2 linked regions of the Drosophila melanogaster genome follow. The gene in region 2 interacts genetically with the main gene of each other region. Each region holds a gene or a part of one and is shown on either strand. Other genes may lie near its edges.

Region 1 (7,030 bases), on a different chromosome or scaffold from region 2:
CATGGAGCTGGAGCTGGATATTCGAAGCGCCAGAAGTATAAGTCGATATCATCGGAATCACTAATCGGGGATTCATAGTCGGGCATATCCGCCATTAGATCGATATTCGGAAACTCTTCGTAATAGTAAACTTCGTCCTCAGGTTCCACATCATTCTCTTCGGATTCCTCGTCGACATCTGCCATTAGTAGCGGCGGATCATCGTTGATGCAAGCCATTACTATGCGAAAGTATGCAGTTAGGTTATCATGGTTATCATGGTACTGATCTATGTGTATTAGCATATGTACATACCTGAATAGTTATACCAGACGTCTGGAATCCGCTCTACTCTCATTCTGAATGGTGGACTTTGTAGAGATAGTTGAAACTTAACCAGTTCTGCAATACGGATATACATACTAAGTATATTAAGTAACTATATTAAATATTACCATATTAATATTAAGCTAGGTATTAAGTGTATATTACTCCACCCAAACTTCGAGATATTCAAAAATATCCATTTTTGGGCGTAGAACCGATAAACTGATGACTTTTTAGTTAAACAAACATACATATTTATAGGTCGATCCACCTTTGCACGCCATATGGAGGATACCCGCCGTTTAGGTCCTCGACAGAGCGGGGTCGGTTGAATGGTAATTTCCCATAATTGGGTCTGGGTCACAATTAGCGACGCCTGGACATGGGTCATCATCATGCGAACGCTTGGTGGTGGGCACCTACGAGTACGAAGGAAAATGGAAAATCCTGTCCCGTGCGCCGCGGGCTAATCAATTACGCAACCTTTAAGAAAAGCGCGCAAGGCCCCCCTCCTTCCCCCCACCGTCCATCCAACATTCAGCGCCCGATAACTTCTACATTTTATTCACATTTAATTGCAGCCCAGGACATTCATTTTTCTGAACCTGATCACGACCGACGCTGTCAAACGGTTGACAAACTTCCCCGGGGATGACATGTGATGTGATGTAACGGGGCTGGGCTAGGATTCAGTCGTCCCCGAACCACGGGAACCAGAAATTCCGAGGCCCATGCCGGAATCTACATACATACACACACGCATACATATATACATACATATGTATCGTAATTTACATTTTCTAACCCTTTTCTTTGTCTAATCACGTAGAAAGTCGCGGCGTCTTCCACGCCTTGCGGTTCCATTGTCATCTCGCTCGCACTTGCATTCTATCTGTAGCTGTATATGTGCCATTTCGGCAGGGATCGTGCCCTCGCACTCGCACCCCTGTGCTTTGCCGTAGAAATTCCGATTTTTGTCGGCCTTCTTTTTGCTCCGTTTTTGCCGGATTTTATTTGGGTAATTTTCTTTTCAATTAAATATGCAAATGCGAGCGTTAAACGTTTAGTTCTTAAGGCGTTTGTTGGTGTCATTTGGATATTTTTAGGGTCCCAAAGGCCAAAGGAATACAACAAATCTACAAAAATCTTGCAAAAACGCCGGCAACATCGCAAGTTATTTGCGGTAAACTGAAGAAACCATGTGCACATTTTCATGTTTTCGACACTTACCGCAAGAAAAGGATTCTTCAAACTCTGTGCTAGACACTTCTTATATAAAGATTTAAAAAAAAATAACAATTAAAAAAATAGCTTTGACTAGTAAGAAACAAAAAAGTTTGCGACTGCTCTTAAGGACAACTTAGTTGAAAAGAACACGAAAGTGTGAAGTAGAAAGGGTGAAGGGGAAGAGCACTTGACTGAGATGCCACTTGACCTTAAGGACTGCTCTATACGTGCACATTAATTATGCAATCACGACACTATCGGTTAACAACACTTATCTCGTGATCTACAAGTTCCGATCCAGAACTACTTAATGTGTTTTAAGGGTTTACTGTAATTATGTAATGTATAAACAAAGTTCAATTTTATTAAAAATATGACAACCAACATTCAATTACAACGAACAAAAAAACTTATAAGAATAATCAAAGAAATATTATTTTATCATCCATATAATTTCGCCTTTATTTAATAAAAAAGAAATGTTAATCTGTTCAAGATTGCACGGATATACGGCACTCAACGAACACAATTGCCAAAATAAATAATAGTTCAACTTTTTGCAATGTGTTCAACGCAATTGTAGCTTACTGTAGATCAACGTTTTAAAACACTGCAATGCGTTGCCACCTGTGTCACTTTTACCTCGTGGACTTGACAGTTCAATGACATTCAATTCCTTTTTCCGGAAACTTTAGCGCAGTCAAGTCATCTAATGCACCCTCCGGCGAGTTTTCTGAATAACAAGATGAGAAGTCCAGCGTTTAATCCAAACGTAATTACCAATTTAATTGTTTAAGTGCACGTTAAGAGAATGTGGCCATTAAATTCCAGGCAAATCGGCGAAATCCACCAAGTCCGCAACCGCACGTTGATGAAAATCGCCATGAGCATGGACGCGTGCGCAATCAGCGGCAGGCGCCCCGCCCAAGATTCCACCAACCATCACATGTGAATGTTTCAGCAATTTATTTGCCATTGTACTCCGTGCCAAGTACGCCGACTACCACCCCTGCGCGTTTTGGGGACACGCAGGGCTTTTACCGCAACGGCTGTTGGTACAATAGCGAATTCAATCGGGAGCCAATATCGGCTAATAATCAGCAATTGTATCTACTGGTATATGTGCCATCAGACACCAATATCCAGCCTGTTCAAATCATACGGCAGGTGCCTCCGATTCAAGGGTCATCACCACCACAACCACAACCGCAGCCACAACCAACGGCGCCACCAACACCACCACCACCACCACCCCAGTTTGTGGTAAACCGTCCCCGTGGGCCGGTGAATTATGTTATGACCGCGCAGCCGCCACAGGGCAGCCGCCCTGTGTATGCACAGTATCCACAGGCACAGCCAATGTACGCAATGCCAAGAGCTACTGTGCCATCGATTCCAGAAGTCCAGACACTACCACACCAAGCCCCGTCACAATATCGACCGACTCAAATTGATGTTGCTCCAAGGATGATGCACCGAGGGGTTCAGGTACCCCCACACTGTCGGCGACCATCATTTAGACAGCCGTTACGGCAAAATCCAGCACCACAAACTATAGGACATGCTCCATCACGGATGCATTTACCAGGCGCTGGAGGCCACAACCTTCCATCCCAGAATCTCTCAACAAATCGTCCAACTCCACTTAACCCTTGTAAGGGGCAATCCGATCCTGCTCCAGTGCAGATGTCTCCTCAAGTCCAGGTACCACACTGCATTATGGCCACGGTGGAGCCCGAGGTGGCAGTATCCAGATTGAACGGTCCAAGTGGAACCATTGATTCTGATCGTCCAGCCCAAGCTGTTACAGTTGTCGAGCGTCAGAAACATACTTACGAGTCCGATGTATCAATGGAGGAGCCAGTGATCAAGGCGGTCCAAAATGTGAGTACAAATAAATAAATAAAATCGTATAAGATATGAGTATATATGTGTGTAATCTTAAATATATGACATGGTTTTATAGCATATGCCGCAAAGCCATTTAGTGCCACCCGTAATTGTAGCCCAACCAGACAATGTTGTAGTCAATGATGCTAATGGTACACAAATGCCGGTTGATCCACCACCAACTGGAGCTACCATTGTGGCTCTTGCCAAGGAAAATGATTCAAATTCGATTGCAAACTCTGTCTTGGTGCATTGTGCTAATGTTAATGAGGCTAAAAAGCCTCAGAAGGAGATTGCTAATAGTTCAGTTGTAAAACAGCAGGAGGTTATGGTTATGCAAACGGAACAGCTCAAATCTCCGAAACCCAAGCTAAAGAATATTCAGCAGTCAAAGATTCCAATCGCTGATACAACACCAGAAGCGGAAACTGAGCAACCCACTATCACTGACCATCCGAAGCCAATTGACCAGGCACATGCCATCAACACCTTGCCGGAGCAGGTACCACAGCCAACGAACACCAATGCAAGCCGTTCATCTGTAAAACAAACTACGCTGGATATTATCTGTGCAAACATGAAAGCATTACGAATTTCGGAGTCGCCCAAAAGCAATGTAAGCTTTAACACAAAATATGTCTAATCACTAGCTTCTCTACATACATGTAATGCTACGTACATAATTGTTTTTCAGACGCCGAAGAATCCAAAGGTCTATATGAATCATTGGCCCCCATTGGCTGCCAAAAAGGATCATGTCAGTAATTCATTTAACTCGAACGATACGCCACCGAAAAGCCATACAGCGGAGGAGCAATCAGTAGCATCTGTTTTGAAAATCGCTAAAAATCGCCAACAGCAATCAGGATTAGTTAGTTCATTGAACTCAAATGCTGATCATAAGATGACTCAAAAATCTGATGACAAAAAGACACCAGATAACGATTCAAAGCGTCGATCAATGGCCACAGAAAAACGCAATTCTGCTCTACCATCGATAAACAAAAACAAACGGTCATACGATAAAGTTATACAACCAAATCCACCAAGGACCTTGGTCCTGCACAATTCGCCTCGGTCGCCAGCGAGTTCCCAATTCACGCCTGTGGTGGTCAAAAAACGTAATATTTCTGGGCCATCGCAGAGAGAAAAGAATGTGCTCAATGAAAATGTTTTGAAACCACCAGTGTTTAAAAAACCCTTAGGGCACAATAATGTGCAGCCAAAAAAGCCATTTGTTGATTTGAAAACTCTAGGGACGAACATGTTTGACCTTCTGGTAGAGCCGGATAAGGAGGATGACAACGGCGAGAACACTAATGAGCAAGATGATCCGTCCATCGACGATGTTAGTACTCCATCAAAGCGTTCCAAATCGCAGAAGGAGAAGAGGCGCTTCAAGAAACAAAAGACGGCCCTTGAAAAGCAGATCAAACTCACGAAGTTGGCCCAAAAGGAGGCGAAGCGTGCCGAAAAAGCAAAGGAAAAGGCCAAGAACTCGAATGGGAAAAACGCGTTGGCTATTCAATCCAATTCAACCGAACAACCGGCTAACCAAACCGTTTCGGGTGGCATACTTGGGAACTTGGCTCAAGAAACCAAATTCTTTTATCAACTGACCGATGTGCTGGGAACTCCTTCGCCATCTCAACCAGGAGCTCCTCCGTCGCCAAGTGTTTCCCGTTCGGAAGTGAACATCAAAGCGCGCAGGAAGAAGCAGCCCATGAAGTTGAGCACATTCTTATCGGCTGTGAATCATGCCGCATTGAAAAGAAATCCCCATGTTTCCGCAAAAAGCAATCTGTTCGAGCGCAGATCATATGGAATTAACAAAGAAACACCAACCCAAACAAGTACAGATTCCGCTGCAGGAGCTCCTTTTCGTTTCAACGCAGCAGAGTCAATGCCGATATCCAAGCCCGCTGCAGAAGTTCCTTCGCGTTCCAACGCATTAGATGCTGTACTCAAGATGGCAACGCCGATATCCAATCCGCTGCCAAAACCGTCCCTATGGTTGCCATATAATGTGCGACCAGCGGCATCGATGGCCAAGGATAATTTCAAACTAAATCGAGATGTGGTGAGCTCATCCGAATCACCATCATTGCAAATCGATATGGCCAAGCAAAATGCTGATAAGCTGGCATCAGCATCTTCATCTCCATCTCCATCCCCATCCCCATCCCCATCTCTATCTCCATCTCCATCTTCATCTTCATCTTCATCTTCATCTTCATCTTCATCTCCATCTTCATCTTCATCTTCATCTCCATCTCCATCTCTATCTTTATCTCTATCTCCATCTTTATCTCTATCTCCATCTCTATCTCCATCTCTATCTCTATCTCCATCTCTATCTCTATCTCTATCTCTATCACCATCTCCATCTTCATCTTCATCAGGAACAGCACCAGCAACCCTTCAAAATAATGTATGGAATTTTAATTCCAGTCCTGGCGAAGTTATTAGCTTGCCACTCAGCAAGCATGCTGAAGATCCCGACCAGTAAACCAGGAGAGAATCCATCAAAAGAATCCACCCGAAACCAAAAGAAGACTGTCAAATCATAAATACCTCGTCATGGTATTATAAAAGCATTTCGAATATCAAACAATATTTGTGATCGAATTCGAAGTCATCACTAGTCACCGTCACCTTTGACCACCATTTACACACTGTGTTTTGTAAATTTACACACATTTTGATAAAATAAAAGTTTCTATAAAACTATATCTAAACTCGTTCTGCTAATCTACTTAAAAACCCCCCTGGTGGTGGTAGTCCAAGTTTAGCATTGGCGAAGGTGTGAGTTTCCACGACTAGGATTTGGTGAGATAATGCACTCAACTGACAACTGCTCGATGAACTCATCTCGTTTGGCCTAATCTCTTTCAGATCTCGTCCGGTTCCATCCAAAACGAATGCCGATTGCAATGCTTCTTAGGCTAGGAGCTTAGCCGCAGTTTGAACTAATTAAGTGTCGAAAGGATTACCAACGCCTACCCGTCGTGTGTTGTGATTTACGAGTCGAACTGGCCAACTAACTACCTGCACAACTGGGTGCTACCTGTACAGGTATCCTCATTAGCATGAGACGACGGCGACACCGTAGGAGGTGGCATCTAATGCGACTGAGTCGTGTGCCATTCCATTCACAGAGTTCCATTCATGGACAGCGTATGTAGAATTGATAATCCCATTCCATTCTAAATTTTAAGTTCTTAGTTCTTAGTTCCGAATCCAAATCCAAATACCCATCCCATTTGGCTTAGCAGTTGCTTTCGTATTGCAGGCGAATTCTGCAATCCATACGAAATCCTTTCGCCCGTTGCACAATGTCCCTTCGAAATCTCTGATGCAGCTGCTCCAGTTGAATGTGAATGGTCGGGTGTGGGTGACATTTGCATCTGTGGCCCAAGACGACGATCCCTAAGACACTCTAAGCCAAATGGATGGGTCGCATTGTGTATTGTCTACTCGTTTCTTCCCTCTTTTTGTCCATTCAACCAGCTGGTCTCGTCGCCAGTTGAATTGACAATTGAAAGATGCACCCATTTCGTCTCGAAGCAGTTCTTATCCAGAACCGAAAATCGGGATTTATACACAT
Region 2 (5,538 bases):
CCCGACTCGTTGTACTTTGTTTTCTCCTCAGAATTGAGCTGTTTTCCCTTGCCAACGCTTGCAGCTGCTGTTCATGTTTGTACTGTTGTGCTAATTGGACAAAAAACTCATTGACCGTCATGTGCTCGTAGTTGCCATTGATGATGGCGGTCTCCTGTTTCTGGATTTGCTGCAGCAGCCAGCTTTTTTCGCTAAGACGCTGCTCCAAGGCCTGTTTCCTAGCCTCCAGATTCTCCTTCCTAACCTTTGGATCATCCTCGATTTTATTGTTGTTGCTACTGCTGCTGTGGTTATTGTTTATGTTATTCGTATTGTTGTTGTTGTTGAGATTGTGCATAGAGTTGCTTGTAGTTGCCGCCTGATCTTCATCTTTAAGACTGGCCATATTTCTGCTCTTGGGCGCTTTCAATTGCATCGCCAGTGGTTCGTCGGCTTCGTTGGTGGGTTGTTGGTGCGGGTTTTGGTATTTCAGGGGATCCTAGAAAAGACAAGCAGTCTTCGATCAGTCGCCTCCTTTGTTTTTATGTAATTTATGGGTTTATTTTGGGGTATTCACCCCACTCTGATACAAAACTTTAACCATTCCATTTTTGTTTGCTACATTTTTTTTTTAACATTTTGAAACAAGAAAGAAAATATAACAGAATGAGTCTGTAACTCAGAAGCTGATTTTTCTTAGTTAGTCTACGAAAACTATCTGAATTATTTTCAAATATACTGTATAAATTCTTATTGTATCAGAGCTGTCGAATACCCCTGGATGATTTCGTTCAGAGTTAGCATTTTGAATTAGAGACGTGCACTAGTTTATTAGGATATTAATGCTTTTTGTTGTATGTACAGACTTAGTTTTTGTTTGCTTCCGATTTCCAACCCGTTTCATCACGCACCACAACCACAGTAAACCTTGAAGCGAACCCTCTCAAAAAAATGGCCAGAACTTTAACCCAAAACATAGAGCATCCCGATGAGGTGTTGTTAGGTTTGTTGTGTCCGTGTTTTTGAACATTTTTTTGGTTTTGTTTCGTACAGTCTTGAGTTTGGCCTTCGTGGCCGGCGATGACTTAATATCAAACGTGCAAAAGTCGTTGAATTAAGTGCGCCTACAGTGGATGCTCGCTGAGAGGAACCAAACTGGTTTTTTCTCCGCATTCTTAATAATTTTCATCGTGGGGGTTGGTTTCTAATTAAAGAACCTCCACTGTGCATGTTAAATGATGTAAAATGGTGTGCACACATACACGTACAATAACAAACTACGCTTATGACTAATAAATAAATTATAATGCATACTTTATACAGATCGATTGGCCCACTCATAAAAAAAAAGAAAACAACAAGACAACAACAAAAACAGGTCAAGAACGAAAAACGGTTAAACAAAAACAACTCGCAACTCACCGAACGAAGACCTTTGTTGTTGTGACCGCTGCCTCTTTGGCCGGTGTACGTGTGTGTGCGTTGTCGTAAAAACAAACATCAACCGTTATGTGTGGCAGCGCCTGTGAATGAGTTAATTTTTTAAGTGTTTGCAATAAAGATTTCGGAAAATTGGCAGGAAAACAACATTTGTATTAGCAGCTCAGGTGAGAGAGTGCCGAGAGAGGGAGAGAGAAGCACACCTTTCTGTTTTATCGCTCGAAATGCGGTCGCATAGCGTCGCTGTTGTTGCAACGCCGCGTCCCCTCGGATAGAAAACAACTAAACTCGTCCTGTTTTTCACATTAACCGCTTGTTTTTCAATTTGTGCGCTACGCGTTTGAGCAATTGGTTTGGGCAGCACTTGAGTTCGGCCGAACTAAACCAAAATTGAGCAAATTATATGGGAAAAACCAGACTGCAATGCTGCGCCTACATAATTAAAACAAAAACTAAACATATCGATAACGAAGAAGGCCCTACCCGATATCGATGTACTGGAGTGCTGAAAAACATCATAAGGTGCTGTTATTATCAGCCGCCCTGTTAGGGACAAGTGATCAATGTTGCCGACACGGTAACAGTGATTTTGGGATACCTTAATTTTATCAGAGCATTGTTTTTAAATTTAATTAATTTTTTAATATTATTAAATAATAATTCCATCGCTTATTCAACTATAAGTAAAGATGAAAGAATATGTTGAAACTATGTTGAAACCAAACTATCCAAGACACATTTACCAAATATAGCAAATAAAAAATAAATATAAAACAATAAAAACAAATAACATTTACCAAAGTCGCAACATTGCGCATCACTGAGCAGCTCTGTTAACCATAATCAGTGTTGTGCAAAGACAGTGCTGCAAGCCGGCCGACTAAGACTCATCCAAGTCGAAATTGCAGCCGAAAGTGAAGGTATTGCAGCAGTAGCCAATTGGACGGTTTATTACATAAATTCGCGTTTTTCGGCTGAAAAAATAAAAGCCTCTTTATGTCATTGCAGTTGTTAAAAGCGCTACCCCACCTGCGCAGCGCCACCACAGCCGTGAGAACTCAGATTGCAAGAACAACGTGGAGCGAGCACATTGCCACGAAAGTGTTTTTTAGCACCACTACCACAAAACCTACTCCCTCCGCACCACCACCACCTCCACCAACGCAACCGCAGCAGCCAGCTGCAACCACAAGTTGGGGCACCAAGAAGCAAAATAGAAAGGTAAAACTAAGATCCGCCGCTGCCGAGTTCATCATGTCGAATCCCGAGATTGAGGCTCAACTTGCCCCATTGAGGGAACGAGTTCAGGAGCAGGGTAACCTGGTGAGGGATCTCAAGGCGAAGGGTGCCCCCGAGATCGATGTGAAAAAGGCAGTAGCCGAGCTGAAGGCACGCAAGAAGCTGCTGGAGGACAAAGAGCTCGCCCTGACCCCCAGTGTCGTTAGTTTCGATCGCGCGAAGATGGAGGATCTACTCAAGCGTCGCTTCTTCTACGACCAGAGTTTCGCAATTTATGGCGGCATCACCGGCCAGTACGATTTTGGACCCATGGGCTGTGCCCTCAAGTCCAACATTCTGGCCCTATGGCGTCAGTATTTCGCCCTCGAAGAGCAAATGCTGGAGGTGGACTGCTCTATTCTGACTCCCGAACCTGTGCTCAAAGCCTCTGGTCATGTGGAGCGTTTCGCTGATCTGATGGTCAAGGATGTCAAGACCGGCGAGTGCTTCCGCCTGGATCATCTCATTAAGCAGGCTTTGGAAAAGCTATCTAAGGCCAAGGATGCAACTCCCGCCCTGCAGGCCGAGTGTGAGGATATTATCATTAAACTGGATGGCCTGAACAAACAGGAATTGGCTGGTGTCCTGGCCAAATACAACATCAAATCTCCATTAACCGGCAATGATTTAACAGAACCGATTGAGTTCAACCTGATGTTTGCCACCCAAATTGGACCCACTGGCTTGGTCAAGGGATTCCTGCGGCCCGAAACTGCCCAGGGTATCTTCGTCAACTTCAAGCGACTGCTGGAATTCAATCAAGGCAAGCTTCCCTTCGCTGTGGCTCAAATTGGCAACTCCTTCCGCAATGAAATCTCACCCCGATCGGGATTGATCCGTGTGCGAGAGTTCACCATGGCAGAGATTGAACATTTCTGTGATCCCGTGCTCAAGGACCATCCCAAATTTGGCAACATCAAATCGGAAAAGTTGACCCTTTACTCGGCGTGCAACCAGATGGATGGAAAGTCTGCCGCTCAGGTGCAAATCGGCGAAGCAGTGGCATCCAAACTGGTGGCTAATGAGACACTTGGTTACTATATGGCCCGCATTCAGCAGTTCCTGTTGGCCATTGGTATCAAACCGGAGTGCTTGCGATTCCGGCAGCACATGTCCAATGAGATGGCTCACTATGCATGCGATTGCTGGGATGCCGAAATTCTTACCTCCTACGGATGGGTGGAGTGCGTAGGATGTGCGGATCGCAGTGCCTACGATTTGGGACAGCATACGGCCGCCACAGGTGTGCGTTTGGTGGCCGAGAAGCGTCTGCCGGCTCCCAAAACGGTCGAGGTCAGCGAGATTGTGCCAAACAAGCAGGCTCTCGGAAAGACCTTCAAGAAGGAGGCAAAGAACATCACGGATGCGTTGGCTAAGCTTTCGCTGGAGGAGATAACCAAGGTAGAGGAACAGCTGGCTGGCGATGGTCAATACAAACTGACCACGGCCGATGGCCAAAGCCACGATCTCGGAAAGGACACCATCAGCGTTAAGCACTCTACGAAAACGGTCCATGTGGAGGAGTTCATCCCGAGTGTGGTTGAGCCTTCATTCGGCATTGGTCGCATCATGTACTCCCTGTTGGAGCACAGTTTCCAATGCCGCGACGGCGACGAGCAGCGGTGCTACTTTACGCTACCGCCTCTGGTGGCGCCCATCAAGTGCTCCATCCTTCCGCTGTCCAACAACACCGACTTTCAACCTTATACTCAGAAACTGTCTTCTGCCCTGACCAAGGCGGAACTTTCGCACAAGGTGGACGACTCCAGTGGATCCATTGGCAGGCGGTATGCCCGCACGGATGAGATTGCCATACCCTATGGCATCACCGTGGACTTCGACACTCTAAAGGAACCGCATACGGTGACTCTGCGAGATCGGAATACTATGAAACAGGTGCGCGTCGGTCTGGAGGAGGTTGTGGGCGTCGTCAAGGACTTGTCGACGGCGAGAACCACCTGGGAGAGTGTCACCGAACAGTATCCTCTGTTCGAACAGCAGGAGGCCAGCAAGTAACTGGTTGATCAAGGAGTTTCTTTCGCTTGGCACGCATTTACAGAGTTTCAAAGTTTTCTTATTTTTGTATAAATAAAATTCAATAATTCAATAATTTCTTATAAAATTCAATAAATATGCAACATTTAATGCTTTGCGCTTTGAAATGGGAGTGTGTTTATCTTCAATATGAATTTGATGTTTATTTTCAAAAAATATTTTTTCTCGGTGAAATTTCTTTTTAAATTATTTAATATAATTTTAAATATGCACATTTAAAGTTGTTTGGATCTATGACAATTCAAATTTACCGGATATTATGATTTATTTACACTTAAAATTGGTAATATAAAACGTGAAATTCCTTTTAAAAACGCAAACTATACACAAAGAGTAAAAATATAAACAAGGGAAAGTAATACGAATTATAGGCCATTTTTTCTTTAGATTTAAATCGCAAGTTTCCAAATAAATATGTAACCAGTCCTCACTGCTATGCTAAAATTACATTTGATTCTTGTTTATTTTTGCGGGAACTCAATTTTAATGCATAGGAAACCGCGCGGTTTTTGTGACGTTTAACAACACACGGTGAGTCACTGGTATTCTCAATGAAATGAGCGGTGGTCATACCATAAATACGTATGAGATATTAAACGAATCCAATTTCTAAAACCACGTGCAGCAAAGGCAAATAAACAATAAATTGTGGCTCGGATTGCCTCAGATTGAGTGTCCACCGCGAATTGAACCGATAACACGATAATCCTCCACATTTGGTGATCCCAAAGATTGACATTCGAGACGAAAGGATGAAATACATCCTGGTAACTGGTGGCGTCATTA

Evidence for each region. Genes that interact genetically often act in the same process or in processes that back each other up.
Region 1: of GlyRS (region 2) and CG15599, changing one enhances a phenotype caused by changing the other (phenotypic enhancement), as found in Drosophila melanogaster (one study listed by BioGRID).

What each region holds. Positions count from the first base shown.
Region 1 is NC_004354.4:15,684,038-15,691,067, reverse strand, and holds CG15599 (uncharacterized protein), read left to right. Parts: upstream 1-2,210; 5' UTR 2,211-2,278; coding exon 2,279-2,305; intron 2,306-2,364; coding exon 2,365-3,417; intron 3,418-3,499; coding exon 3,500-4,039; intron 4,040-4,117; coding exon 4,118-5,932; 3' UTR 5,933-6,121; downstream 6,122-7,030.
Region 2 is NT_037436.4:15,092,847-15,098,384, forward strand, and holds GlyRS (Glycyl-tRNA synthetase), read left to right. Parts: upstream 1-2,295; 5' UTR 2,296-2,415; coding exon 2,416-4,713; 3' UTR 4,714-4,840; downstream 4,841-5,538. Other genes in the region: sstn (stepping stone), read right to left, coding at 1-415; Ctps (CTP synthase), read left to right, coding at 5,505-5,538. UniProt on the Drosophila melanogaster protein: Catalyzes the ATP-dependent ligation of glycine to the 3'-end of its cognate tRNA, via the formation of an aminoacyl-adenylate intermediate (Gly-AMP).